Linked DNA regions of Callithrix jacchus. The protein of the gene in region 2 purifies or fractionates together with the protein of the main gene of each other region. This does not show direct contact. Links are inferred from orthologs where the notes say so. Each region holds a gene or a part of one and is shown on either strand. Other genes may lie near its edges. The genes, in order: MC1R and MGRN1.

Region 1 (7,381 bases), on a different chromosome or scaffold from region 2:
GCAGATGAAGTAGTACATGGACGAGTGCAGGTTGCGGTTCTTGGCGATGGCAGCCACCACCAGCACATTCTCCACCAAGCTCACCAGCCCCAGGCTGAGGAAGAGCCCGTCGGGGATGGACACCTCCAGGCATGGAGCTCCTGTGTGGTTAGCAGCCAGCCCCGGGTTGGAGGTGGCTGTGGGGGTGGAGTTGAGGGACCCCAGGAGTTTCCTCTGAGCTCCCTGCATAGGCATAGTCCCGTCCAGGAAGCAGGAAGGGGTCGCTGGAGGCTCCCAGGTCCCCACAGTTCTCCCCCTGCAGGTGTCCTGCTTAGCTCATGGTGCTGCTGGGGTGCCCTGGGTGTCCCCCATGCCTGCCTCATTCCATCCGGGCACACCCCAGTTCTGCCCTCACACTCACCCTCTCCTTCCTGGACCGGCCAGCTTGGGCATGGCCCAGCCAGTCCAGACACTTCCTAGCATGAACCCTCTGACCTCAGGGCATCTCACAACCAATTTGAACAAACCTGGTCCTCAGCTCCCTCCTTGCCTCTTCCCTGGAGGCTGCTCAGGTTCCCAGGACATTTCCACACCTCTGGCCCCTCCTGGCCTCTGAGACCTCTGCCTGCCTCCTGCTTCCCTGGGCCAGGGTTGGACTGCAGTCCTGGGAAGAATGGAGCCTTTCTCTGCATTTTTAAAGTCATCCTCAGAGCCCCTCCCATGAGGGCGGCCACATGATGGGCGTGTGCCTGGGATGAGTGAGTGCCCACCCCCGCCTGGCCTGCCATCAGGCGGCACACAGCGCCCAGGGAGTCCCACACAGAGCCCATCCCCTTCCCATTAAAAAACACCACCATCTGTCCAGGTCACCAGGGCCCCCGCCTGGCCACCCCTCCAGGAGTCCAGGGTTTCCCCGGGCCCTGCCCCCTCCAGAGGCTCCTCCGCCTCAGATAGTCACTGGCCATGGACAGCAGCCCCAGCCCCTAACCCCCGCTCCTTATGTCAGCAGCTCAGTGAGGACAGGGGCCTCCTCTGCTCTCAGCTGAAGCATGCATGGAGCAGCAACTCAGCTGTCAGTGTTCATGGCAGATTTGGGGGCTGTACCAGGGAGAACTTCCCAGTAATTAAAGTTCTGGAAACTGAATGGACCCTGGTGGAGACACACATCACCAGGGTGTGAGGGGCTTCCAGGCAGGGCAGAGGGTGAAAGGGCCCAATGCCAGAGGTCCCTGAAGGGGGTGATGCTTCTAGGTATCACAAAGAGCCTGAGGCCGCTCTGGCCCCTGCCCCTAAGGGCCCAGCCTCGCCTAGCCAGACTAGCAGCCCCCTTGATGGCAGCCCTGGGGCTGGGGGTGTCGCCTTCTGGTCTCGGACCAGCAGACTGGCTGGGGGCACCCTGGTGAGGCCTTCCGGACCCTTCAGTCATCTCATGGTTCATCCTCATTGGGGCACCTGGGACACTGCTCCTGCCCTCCCCCAGCAGTGCCCCTATTTCCGCTGTGGAGGCACCACAGGCCCAGCACCAGGAGCCACATCAAAGGCAGACCTCTCGCCTCCAGCCAGTGGCCGCACGTGGTGCTCTGCCATCCGTTCACAGCAGTTGGGTGTGGCCCCCAGGCCCAGCAGGGACGGTCGGGAGGGGCCGCCATGCCCAGTTCGGGCATCTTTCTGCGTTCACTCCAGGGCGCTCCTAGCACTTCCTTGCTAACACCGTGTCTGTGTTGACGAAAAACCTCCTTATGAAGGTGGAAGCAGAAGGGGGGACCAAATTACTCATCCCATTTACAGATGCAGAAAAGGAGGCAACGGGACAGGCACCGCATCAGGGTTTCAATGTTTGCACCTGCGACATCTGAGTTAGGATCCATGCTCTCTGTCACTGGCCAGCCTGCCAGTCTCTGACTGTGGAATGCCCACATCACTCACAAGCCACCTCCATGTGTGAGCACATTACTATAATATTTACTGATGCAGTATATATATTTGTTACATTTTGAATTTTGCAATTTATAAATATTTTTGCTTTAAAATTTATTTTTTTGAGACCCAGTTTCATTCTGCCACTGAGGCTGGAGTGCAGGGACCTGATCTCTGCTCACTGCTACCTCCACCTCCCGGGTTCAAGTGATTTTCCTGCCTCAGTCTCCCAAGTAGCAGTCTGGCCGCAGGTGCCCACAACCACCCCTGGTTAATTTTTGTGTTTCTAGTAAAGATGGGGTTTTGCCGTTGGTCAGGCTGGTCTTGAACTCCTAATCTCAGGTGATCCGCCTGCCTCGGACACCCAAAGTGTTGAGATTACAGGTGTGAGCCACCATGCCTGGCCTGCTTTTAATTTTTTTTTTTTTGAGATGGAGTTTTTCTCTGTCACCCAGGCTGCAGTGCAGTTGCACGATCTTTGCTCACTGCAGATTCCACCTCCCAGTTCAAGCAATTCTTCTGACTAAGCCTCCCAAGTAGCTGGGACTACAGGCGCACACCGCCATGCCCAGCTAATTTTTAGTAGAGACGGGGTTTCACCATGTTGGCCAGGATGGTCTTCATCTCCTGATCCACCCACCACGGCCTCCCAAAGTGCTGGGATTACAGCGTGAGCCACCGCACTGGGCCTAAAATGTTTTAATTGAGTACAACACACATAAACGTGCACCAATGACGAACACGCAGGCAGAGGGATGCCCCACCTGAACCAGGTACATAAGCAGCACCAGACACAGACACCACGTTCCCACCCGGCTGGCTCTCTCCGGCTAAGATTTGCCCATGCTGGTGGCTGCAATCCTCTGCCTCAGACCGTGGTGTCCATTGTGTGAACATTGGGGTGGCCTCAGACTCTGTCAATTACAGTGCTGCTGGCAGTTTGCTATATCACCTGATGGACACAGGTGCGTGCACCTGCTGGATGGCATGCAGGAAGGACATGGGCAGGGCTTCTGCTTTGGGACACTTGGTCAAACCATCTTCAGACTGGCAGACCTGGGTCTGGCAGCACACACAGCTCATTTGGACAGCGTGCCCTGCTCACACCTCCACAGACCTGCAGTCTGGCCACACCCACACAGCCTCACCTCAGTCCAGCCTTTTGCCTCCCATGGCCTTTGCTGCCTCATGCTGTGCTTCCAGCTGAGCACAGGGGAGAGAAGGGTTCCAGATGTGAGGAGGAGGCTGAGCCTGGCTGGGGAAGGCAGACGGCCCCCTGGCATGAGGGGCCATGTCCCTGCATAGGAGTCCCTGGACATCCATACACTTCACAGACCCAAACCCCGCTCCCCTGTGGCCATGAGCCGGTGAGCAGCCCTATCCCAGCCCACTGCATCCTCACATTTCAGGGATGTTCACATTCGCATCTCCATAATGAGGCCTTTGAAATAGATGGTGGTTAACCCCAGCCTCCACCCCAGCCACCCAGCCTGGGACTTCAAAGGGCATGAGAATCAGGCAGCCCGTTTCCTGCCAGGACACAGCTGGAGGGCATCAGAAGTGGATGACCCTGCCACAGGACTCCCACTGTGGTTCTCATTGGATGTGCCTGTCGGGGCACTGTGGGAAGGAGATGAGGTACAGATGAGCTGGAAAAAATCAACATTCTGATTCGTTATGGTCATGGGGGAGATAAATTAGCCTCAGGACCATCTGTGATTAGATGGAATCAGATACTTCTACAGCTAATCCTATCTGTTTGGATCTCCTAGTGCCCCTGGAGATGTTGCGTGTGGAGCGGCAGGAAGACACATGGGGCCGGCGTGCCTGCTCACCAGGGTCGTGGTGGACGGTGCCTTCCCACGGGCAGAGGCATGGTCCCATGGAGCACTTCCCACAAGGACGTTTCTGGACTGGGGTCCCATGAGGACAATGAAGACAGATGCCTTCCTGGGTTTGTTCCGTGTCTGGCACCCAAGGTCTGCAACACCCACACACATACGCGTGTGCACACATGAATATGCACACACGTATGCATGCATGCAGTGTGCGCCCAAGGGCTGCAGGGAACCCAGCTCTGTAGCCCAGGGTGCCTGTCCAGCTGCAGCCACCCACAGGGAGGTGGGGGTCACCACTGGACCAACAGTCCCGAGCTCTTGGGCCACCGTGAGTCTGCCTCTGGGTCCCAACATGGTGGGCTCCAGTACAGCTCCCAAGGACAGCCAGGCCCACAGCCCGCCTCAGCCCTTGGCTCAGGGGCCATCAGTTTCCTTTGAACCGGGGGTGGGGGGTGGGAGGGTGGGAGGTGCCTGCGTTGAAGACTCTGGGGCGGGGGACTGGCTCAGTGGAAAAGGGCCCAGCTGGGGAAGCCACATGTGCCTCAGGCTCTCACTGGGCTCAGCAGGGCCAGGGAGGAAGCAGGATCCACGATCCCCCACAAGCATGGCAGAGGCCAAGCCTTGAGAGTAGTCTTCGGGTCTCACGGTCATTAGGAACAGGCTCAGCGGCAGCTCACGACATAACCCCAGCAGCAGTGCCAAGGCGTCAGTGACCCAGCCACCTCTCAGGACAGCAGGTCTGGGCTCAACCTCTGCTGCACTCACTGTCCCTGGAACACCGGCTCTTCTTTGACTCCCAAGCACAGGACGGCTGCTGGAGCTCCAAACACCACATCCCCATGTGGGTGGACTCAAGGCATCTGGAAGGAAGAGGCAGGAACCCAGCTCTCCTTGCTTGCCTGTCACTTTCAGAGAACAAGCCCCTGAAGACTCTAGCAGTCCCCCCATCTCAGTGGCTGAAGCTCATCACAGGCACCTGGCTGTGGAGGGCAGGGAACCAAGGCAGACTGGGATGATCCCGGCCACCTTCCCTGGAGCTGAGTGCAGATCCCCAAAAAAGCCAGTTATGCTGGCATGGAAAAAAGGGTGGGTGAGATGCCGGGAGGGCCCCCGCTCTGCACCAGCCTGTGCTCCCCAGAGCCTCCCGCTGACCACAGACATCATTCCCTTGCTGCAGAGAGGAAGGAGGCTGCTGCACCATCTCTTGCTGCAGCATCTGGGGAGAGGAGCGCAGCAGGCTCAGGATGTCACAGCTGGCACCCCGGTGCACCCCTCCAAATGGCCAGCCCAGCTCGAGGGCTGCACCCTCAGGCCCGCATCTGAGACGGGCACACAGGGCTCACCCCTCAGGCCGCCTCTTATCACAGACAGGGGGCCCTCACTGTCCCGGGGAGGGTCCTGCACCCTAGGCTCCCAGCTGGGAAATACTGAGCAGTCAGGCGACACCAGGAAAAAGATGTGCTCACAGACCTCAGTGGGCCCTTGATAGACGATGATACAGTGATGGGGCTTTCTGGGAGGTGGGTCCATGGACCAGGACCCAGCTGGGGCCAGAACATGTCTCCTGCCTCACTGGCTGCCCTCCTCCCAGCCCCTTGTGCTTGCTGTCTCCTGAGGGTGAAAGATCAGGGTGCTGTGGGGTGCAGGGGACAGAAACCCTGGTGCAGCCATGACACTTCATGTTCTCAGTCCTTCCAGAACCATGCCGGCTTCTGATTTCGCCTGGCTGCACCCTCTGTCCTCCTGCAGCTGCAACACTGCGGGATGTACAGGTTCTGGACACCACCGCTCAAGTGTGCCCAGACCTGCTCCAGCTATGCCCCTCTCCAGGCTGGGGGCTCGGTCAGAGTGGCCCATTCACCCCCAGACCGAATGTCTCCTGATCTTTGCCACACCACCCTTCAGAGCTGCCCATGAACCTCTCTTTCCAAAACATGCTCCTGGGGCTTCTCCTTCAATTCCAGGCACTGCCCTTAAGTTTTCTAATAAAATTATTTTGGCCAGGCACGGTTGCTCACACGTGTAATCCCAGCAATTTGGGAGGCTGAGGCAGGTGGATCCCCAGGTCAAGAGATTGAGACCATCCTGGCCAAGAAGGTGAAACCCCATCTCTACTAAATACAAAACTTGGGCCAGGCACGGTGTCTCATGCATGTAATCCCAGCACTTTGGGAGGCTGAGGTCGGTGGATCACCTGAGTTCAGGAGTTCGAGATTAGCCTGGCCAATATGGTGAAACCCTATCTCTAATAAAATACAAAAATTAGCCAGGTGTGGTGGCAGACATCTGCAATCCCAGCTACTCAGGAGGCTGAGGCACGAGAATCACCTGAACCCAGGAGGCGGAGGTTGCAGTGAGCTGAGATTGCGCCACTGCACTCTAGCCTGGGTGACAGAGTGAGACTCTGTCCCAAAAAGAAAAAATACCGAAATACAAAACTTAGCTGGGCATGGTGAGTGTCGTGGCATGCGCCTGTAGTCCCAGCTACTTGGGAGGCAGAGGCAGAGGCAGAATTGCTTGAACCCAGGAGCTGGAGGATGTAGTAAGCCGAGATGGCGCCACTGCACTCCAGCCCAGTGACAGAGCAAGACTCCGTCTCCAAAAAAAAAAAAAAAAAAGATGTCTCAGACTCCACAGATGGTGGCGTCCAGCCAGAGGACCGCAGCACATCAGCTCCCATCGGCTTGGAGGAACAAGACTGAAGGCAGGCTGCAGCGTAGGGGACTCCCTGCTCCAGTCCCACCCTGAAACCCTCTACCAACAAGGAATGCAGCTGTCCATGAACCCAGAGCAGGCTGAGGAGGACCAGCCCCAGGGCCCTGGCGTTCAGCAGGGACTTGCCCTGAAGACACTGTGGGTCCCCTTCTCCACCATGTCCCAGATTCTGGGAGCAGAGGAAGCACGTGGCCTGGGCCCCGCCTCACTCACAGGCCACTGGGAAGAGACTGGACTGAGTGATTGGAATCTGAGGGCACTGGACACACTCAGTGCCTGGCAAAGAAGAGCGTGTGGACAGCAGAGCATGACCCATTTACATTTATAGGAGACACAGCGGACCAGGCCGGCAGTACAGTCAGCATCTCTACTTCAGGGAGCTGGCCAATTCCGACCAGCACAGAAATCAGGAACGTAAGTGTACAGCTTCCAGGCGCTCTGCGGACGCTCAGTCCCACTCCCCCTCCCCCTCTGCGTCGTCCTCGTGGGGCGCCTCTACGTCGTTGAGGTGGAAGTTGGCCATCATGTCGCGCACAGCCAGCATCAGCCTGTTGAGGCCCTGGTTGCGGTTCAGACCCCCAGCCACTCCTTCCTCGGGTCTCTCCCCCTGCAGCAACGGGACACGTCTAAGCAGGGGGCGTCCATGCTGGGACTCGGAGTCCAGGGCCCCGGCAGGAAGGCACCGTGGAGCCCCAGGTGGCCCTTGCCCCAGCGTCAGACCCTGAAGCCTCACCAGGTCCCTGTGAGGAGAGGAAGCTCTCAAAACCAAAAGTAGCGTCTAGGCCAAGCCAGGCCCAGACAGTGGGGTCAGGATCAAGCCCGGCTGGCTCTGCATCAGGCCTGGCTGCTCCCATCCGAGCAGGCCCGGCTCGAGGGCTCCAGATACTTGCACTGGAACCTATGTGCCCACACCCACCAGGCAGGCAGTATCT
Region 2 (6,701 bases):
CTCTGGCCACCCTGCTAGCTGGCCCGATCCAGGACAGCACCGGGAGCAGGGCCTGGGAGGGCTTGAGTACCCTAATCCCCGAGTCCAGGATCAGAGCGGAAGACCAGAAACTCTGGTGCTTCGCGGACCCAGCCTGCTGGAGAGAAAGCGACTTAAATTCCGGGGCCGGCGCTTTCCGGCATCCTCCAAGCCGGGCACCCTGTGCCAGGTACTGTGTGCTGGAGGGGGGAGGGAAGAGGGGTTTCCCCAATTTACGATGAGGAACTTGGGGCTCAGAGAGGGACAGAACTTGTCTAACTGCACCCAGCAGTTGGTGACAGAGGCAGGAGTCCACCCCAATTCCACAAAGGCCTGAGGTACTTACCCTGTATCTGTACTGGAGCAGTCTCTGGGGCTCAGAAACAAACAGCCAAGGGAGAGTGAGGTCCCCCGAACTCCACGATGGCGAGGCTCACCTCACCAGCAGCAGGGCCCACTCCTCCCAACCAGGGAAATGGATTTGCTGAGCACAGCCCTGGGAGAGCTGTGCAGTGAGGCCAAGCTCGCAGGCACAGAGAAAGCTGCCTTGAGTGGAGCCAGACAGGAGGGAGGTGGACAGAGGGTGAGCACTGGAAACTCACCTGTTTGGTCCATGGTGGCGTCAGATGTGAAGAACCTAGAGAAGACACCTCTCTCTCTTGCTGTGGCCACCAGTGAAGGTGGTCACACGGGTCAGCTGCAGCCAGCAGAAGCCCCGACCCCAGGGTAAGCGACCATGTTAGAAGGCGAGAGGGCAGCGAAGGGAAGGGTCCTCCCACCCAAAGAGGGCCTGACCCCTAGACGGCCAAGCCCAGCCAGAGACCCAGAACCCAGGGTCCTTGAGATGCATGGGCACTGGAGAGGAGGCTCCCATTGCTCCAGTCCCTCCCTGACACCAGACACCAATTAAAGTGCTAGGTCTGTTGGGAGGTACAGAGGGGGAGCCAATCTAGCCCGTGCAAGCACCCGTCTGACACTCTACCCACAATGGGATGGAGCCAGACCCAGGCCTGTCAGAGCAGCTGCAGGGCCCATGGGTGGCAGCCTTCTTGGGGGACTGATGGGCCAAAACATGGGCAACCCCTCCACCCTCAGGGTCTTCAGTCGAGGGGCATGGTGGCAACTTGACCTGTGTGCAAAGGAGCTGGGGCCGAGTGGTAGCTGCCCTGGTGCACTGGCCACTCCCTGGGCAGGGGAGCAGGGGCTGGGCAGAGGCCTGGGGTTGGGCTCTAGCCCTCGAGCCCACAACCCTGGGCGGCCAGACCTGCTCCGGCCGTCCGGGCTCCACAGGCCAGCTGTAGGGCACTGGCACTGCCCCTCTGCTTGAAAACCTGTTCTTAAAACTGACTCCCCCTTAGGCAGAGACTGCACTGAGCCGAGATTGCACCACTGCACTCCAGCCTGGGTGACAGAGCAAGATTCCACCTCAAAAAAACAAAACAAAACAAATCTGACTCCCCCTAATAAAAACACTCCAGTAGCCTCTACAAGCTCTTCAGTAGCTATCCAGAACCCTTCACTCCAACCAGGGGCTCTGTCCCCAGGGGACACACCAGCCTCACTACTGCCACCTGGAGCACTCCAAGGCCAGCTCCTCCTCAGCCTTAAGGGCTGTTGGAAGTCTCAGGCTCTCCCTGCCGCCCAGTTCAATGAGTCCCTTTTAAGGTTTCATCTCACCACCACCCCTTCTTCCTATAGCATCCAAACCTGGCAAGATTCTGATTAGCAGCCGGGCGTCTCACTGCCTGGAATGCAGGCGCCTGGGGTCCGCGCCTCAGCTGTTCTGCTGCCACTGGAACACACCAGGTGCTCAGCAAAAGCCCTGAGACCACCGGGGCTAGACTTGGGAACAGGAGCAACAACTCTCACACCTGCAGGCCCGGGGGCTACCGCACCACCTGTTCAGGGGACAGCCCGATCGAGGGTGTGGCTTCCCTCCAACAGGGCTGGCTGGGAGCCAGCGTTCTCATTAACCCTCACCGTGCTCACTGCCCTGACACCGGAGGGAAGCCGGGCAGAGGCCATGGAGCTGCCAGGCTGTTGGAGCCAACCCAACCACCCAGTGGCCCAACTCCGGGTCAGGAAACAGCCACTGTCCTGAGGGCTGTGCCCAGAGGAAGGAACAGACAGTATATTGCTGCGTGATTTTATTACTATAAATATACAGTAAAAACAAATGGGCCCATCTGAGCACATCAAATGGCAGCACATAGGAGTCCCAGCGGGCCATTCTGCAGCCTGAACTTCACGGAGAGCCCTGGCACCAGGACCGACGGCCACAGGCTGGGGCCTTGGCAGAGCGGGAGGAGAGGTGGGGTTGGGGGGAGGTGTGTGGGGGGAGGTGCGTTGGGGAGATGCCTGGGCCAAGTGCACACACACGTGGGAGCATATGCGTATGGGTATGTGTATGCGTGCACGTGTGTGGGAGCATGTGTGTATGCGTATGAGTGTGTGCAAATATGCCTGAGCATGTGTGCGTGAACGTGGGAGCATGTGTGTATGAGCATGTGCAAGTGACTGTGCATAAGCATGTGTGTGAATGTGAGAGCATGTGCACAAGGGCAGGAGGGGACTGGCCTGGGTGTGCAGGGAGCTGGGTGCAGGGACCACTGCTGGGTCCCCCCTGAGCGCCCAGGAAGCAGAGCTTGTACTCAAGGCCACCCTGAACCTCAGGGAGGGCTGTGAGCTGCCCCACAGCCATCTGATCCCCAAGCCCAGCTGCAGGGCAACCTCCCCGCCCCCGGGCCAGAAGACCCACACATACCTTCCCGGCCCAGGGCCCTGCTGGGGTGGCTCAAGTCCTGGGTCACCAAGGCCAGATACCCCCTTCACCTGTCTGCTGCCCAGGATGTTTACCTTAATAAAAACAGGACAACGTCGCCCAGAGGCCAAGCCTCCAGGCTGTGACCTCACTTACCAGGTGGGCTGCTGGCTCCCTCCTCCCCGGGTGGGTCTCACCGAGGGAGCCTGACACATCAAATCAAAGAGAACCACAAGGGGGCCGGGCGCAGCGGATCATGCCTGTAATCCCAGCACTTTGCGAGGTGGGTGGATCACCTGAGGTCAGGAGTTCGGGACCAGCCAGACCGACATGGTGAAACCCTGTCTCTACTAAAAATACAAAAAAATTAGCCAGGGTTGGTGGCATGCACCTATAATCCCAGCTACTCGGGAGGCTGAGGCAGGACAACCACTTGAACCTGGGAGGTGGAGGTTACAGTGAGCGAAACCATGCCACTGTACTCCAGCCTGGGCAACAAGAGTGAAACTCCATCTCAAAAAAAAGAGAACCGCAGGGGACATTCCAATGACAAAAGGGAATGGTCCTTCTTGACAGGGCCCTGCTGAACGGATGGCCCTGCAACTGGAGGGGCCTGGTGAGGTCACCAAAGCCAGCACGGTGAGAAGGTGCAGGGCTTGGTAACAAGGCTGCTGGATGATGGCTGCTGGAAGCGGCTGTGCCTTGGCCCCTCAGTCAGGTCCAGTGCTAGGCTGAGATGCTTCAGCTGCCCAGAGCGACAGCAGTGCACCCCAAAGCTCTGAGCACTGAAGGCGCCAGCAGAGACACACCAGGGAGGGCATGGAGGCTGCACAAACACGGCAGAGGACAGAAGGCAGCAACAGCCAGGCTGCCGTGGTAACACCGGTGGGCTGGGCGGACAGGCACCGTTTCCTTCACTGACCGTGCCTCGAGCCCCCACTGCCCCCGAACATCTGTGAAGATAGTGCTTCACCCACCAATAAATTCTCTTGTGCAGGTCTGCTGAGTTCTCTGGGCAGCAACTGCACTGCTGAGGGACCCGGTGCAGCCAGCAAAAGCCACATGTGGGCAGCCCCAGCCCCAGATGCTCGGCCCACCAGACCCTGGGGAACCCAGGCGCTGAACTTGGGATGGAAAGCTGCTGTCCTTCATCTTGTACCAGTTACAAATATATCAACCATAGAAAAGGGGGACTTGGGGGACAGTCCACTGTGCTCTTTCATCAGGGGTCACCACAGCCCCTTGGAGCCTGGTGGCCACAGGGGGCATGCAGACAGGAGAGGCCGAGTCACACCGGGGTCTGGGGCAGCCCCTTGGCAAAGTCTAGGGAGCTGAGGGCTCCATGCTGCCAGCTTGGCCAGGCTCTCAGAGTGAGGTCAGCTCGGCGGTGCTGGGATCAGGGCTGGGGCCACCAAGAGGAGGCCAGGTGGGGCTGGTGGTGCCAAGGCTGTGGGCCATTTCCATGGAGGTGGGCCATCCTGCAGGCAGGAGCAGAGGGGGAGGGAGGTGGGTCACACTCAGCTGCTTGGTGCCACCCACTCCTACCAACCTGGAGCCACACAGGGGTGGGCCACCCCGCACCCCCACTCCCGCCACCTGTCTGTGGCCAGAACAGATGGGGCCTCTCCAGCCCTGCCAAGCACGGTGTGTCCCTCTCAGGCAGATCACCCCTCATCCCAGGACACCGGGCACATCACCCTGCACCCCCAGACACTGGCAGCAGAGCTGCAGCCCCGAGTCAGAACACGACGTGGCGCTGTGGCTTCTGTCCTCTGGGTCTCCTGCCCTCCCCCTGGTCCCAGTTTCCTGGGATGTGACCACCCACTGTCCTGCTAAGGTCCTTATGGCTAGGTTAGGCTAGAACTCAGTCACCCTGGGGTGGAGGGGCAGGGAGCAGCCCCGAGCGAGAACGATCCCAAGCTCAGAGTGGCCCCATGGTGGCTTCTGTGAGGCAGAGAGGAGCCTCCCACAGAGCCCCGACGCTTGGACTATGGCTTCTACACCGCTGCCAGGTGCTGTCCCCAGATGGGTCTGGCTTCCCCGGGGCTTGGGTAACAGTGCTGGTGCTGAGCCTGGGACGGGGCCAGCACGGCCTCAGGGCTGCCCAACATCCAGCCACCAGCCCTGACCCATGGCTCCCAGCAGACAGGGCCCGGCCCCGCTCTCAGGTGAAGGATGGCTATCTTCCTCAGGGGCTTCGGCCTGCAGCAATACCAGAGCTCAGAGGCTGTGAGCCTGTTCCAGACCACACCTGCGCTCCCCACCTCTGGAAGCTTGACCTGAGCCGTAACATTCGAACGGCACCATCCCCCGACACGCAGGCCGGGGCCCTCTAAAAGGTGCAGGTGGCGTTTCAGTCAAGGGGTATGACAGGTCAGGAGAGGGGTCCACAGAGGGACGCACTGGGCTCAAGACGACAGATGCGTGAGAACGCAGAGTGCAGTCAAAACAAGCAAAGCTCCTGGGCCCAGCTCAAGTCCGCCCAGGGGAAAGGGCCTCTGGGAGCCTGGACCCCGGCTGGGCACTTCCCAGCGGGCCACATGGGCCTTGCCCGACGATGGCTGTGGTCCTGTGTGGGAGCCCCGGCCTCAGAGAACACCAGCAGCCCCCTCAGCAGACCAGAGCTGCAGGCGGCATGTGCGCCCAGACCCTTCGGGAAGGCAGAGGGTCCCCAGTCTGCCTGCCTACTTTTTGGTGGTACTCCTGGAGCTGTCCTCTCTCTCTCTCTCCTGTGCGTGTGTGTGTGTGTGTGTGTGTGTGTGTGTACGTGTGTGTTTGCATGTGTATATTTTCTGTTTTTGAGACAAGGACTCAGGCTGGAGTGGGCCTGGACCTCCCCAGCTCAGGCAATCCTCCCACCTCAGCCCTCTTAGGAGCTGGGACCACAGGTGTAAGCCACCAAGCTCAAGCCAGTTTTTAAACTTTTGTAGAGGGGTCTCACTATGTTTCCCACACTACTTTGAAATCCTGGGCTCAAGTCATCTAACCCCTTGGTCTCCCAAAGACCTGGGATTACAGGTGTGAGCCAGTGCCTGGCCAGAGCGGCTTTGGTCAAACATCCGCCTGGGCCACCCTGGTAGAGAGTGCCTCTTGGGGGGGATGAGGGGGTCTCCTGGGAGGGAATGGGGGTGCCAGCCTCACAGGGCCTATCACACTCAGTGCTGGTGTTCCAGAAAGTTCCAGTACTGGCAGGGACAGGTGAGTTAGCAGTAATGGTGGTCTCAAAGCAGAAAGGCAGCCCACAAGGGACTGTCTGCCAGGCCCACGGAGCCAGGCTGACTAGCGAAGGAGGGAGCAGGGGAGCAGGGGAGCAGGGGAGCAGGCAGCTGTGTGAGTGGACGCCCTCAGGACAGGATGCAAGATGCTCTCCCCTGGGCACCAGAAGACCCCTTAAGGAGAGACTCCCTCCAAGAGACGGGGACTGAGCTTGGGAACAGGGATCACCAGGCTCTCCCAGCCTGGGGCACATTCTTTTCCCCATGATTTATTACTTAAAGCCATGTCCAGAAAATGGGAGTGACCTGCTGCACATCCCAACGGGAACTCACAGGGGACTATCCGGAACAAGGCTGGGCCTGGGCCTGAGGCTCTCCTCTCCGAAGTGTCGCCCCGCGTCTCCCTGGGGTTCCCTCCATGCTCCTGCCTCCTGTGGGGGACAGTGGCTCTGGCACACCTGGGCTGGGTCTGTCTCCCTGCCTGGGCTGGGACTATTCTAGGGCCTCTCAAGGCTGGAAGAAGATCCTGACCAGTCGCCGGGTCCAAATGCAGAGACCTCTGGCTCTAAAAGTCAGGACCCCTCAGGAGGCCACTTTCTGGGGCAAAGGTGCAGCGGCCACCAGAGCTCTGGATTCAGAACCCAGGACCCCTGGGAAGACATGGATGTGGATGAAGACCCGAAAACCAGAAGGAACCCCCACCAGAG

Evidence for each region.
Region 1: the proteins of MGRN1 (region 2) and MC1R purify together in Homo sapiens (affinity purification with western blotting; 3 studies listed by BioGRID). This does not show direct contact. The link is inferred for Callithrix jacchus from reciprocal best matches to the Homo sapiens genes MGRN1 and MC1R.

The regions. Positions count from the first base shown.
Region 1 is NC_133521.1:47,548,838-47,556,218, reverse strand, and holds the start of MC1R (melanocyte-stimulating hormone receptor), read right to left. Parts: upstream 3,867-7,381; 5' UTR 235-3,866; coding exon 1-234. Other genes in the region: ribosome quality control complex subunit TCF25, read right to left, coding at 6,898-7,056. UniProt on the Homo sapiens protein: Receptor for MSH (alpha, beta and gamma) and ACTH. The activity of this receptor is mediated by G proteins which activate adenylate cyclase.
Region 2 is NC_133513.1:6,808,991-6,815,691, reverse strand, and holds the end of MGRN1 (E3 ubiquitin-protein ligase MGRN1), read right to left. Parts: intron 6,426-6,701; exon of another isoform or gene 6,328-6,425; intron 4,258-6,327; coding exon 4,145-4,257; 3' UTR 2,153-4,144; downstream 1-2,152. UniProt on the Homo sapiens protein: E3 ubiquitin-protein ligase. Mediates monoubiquitination at multiple sites of TSG101 in the presence of UBE2D1, but not of UBE2G1, nor UBE2H. Plays a role in the regulation of endosome-to-lysosome trafficking.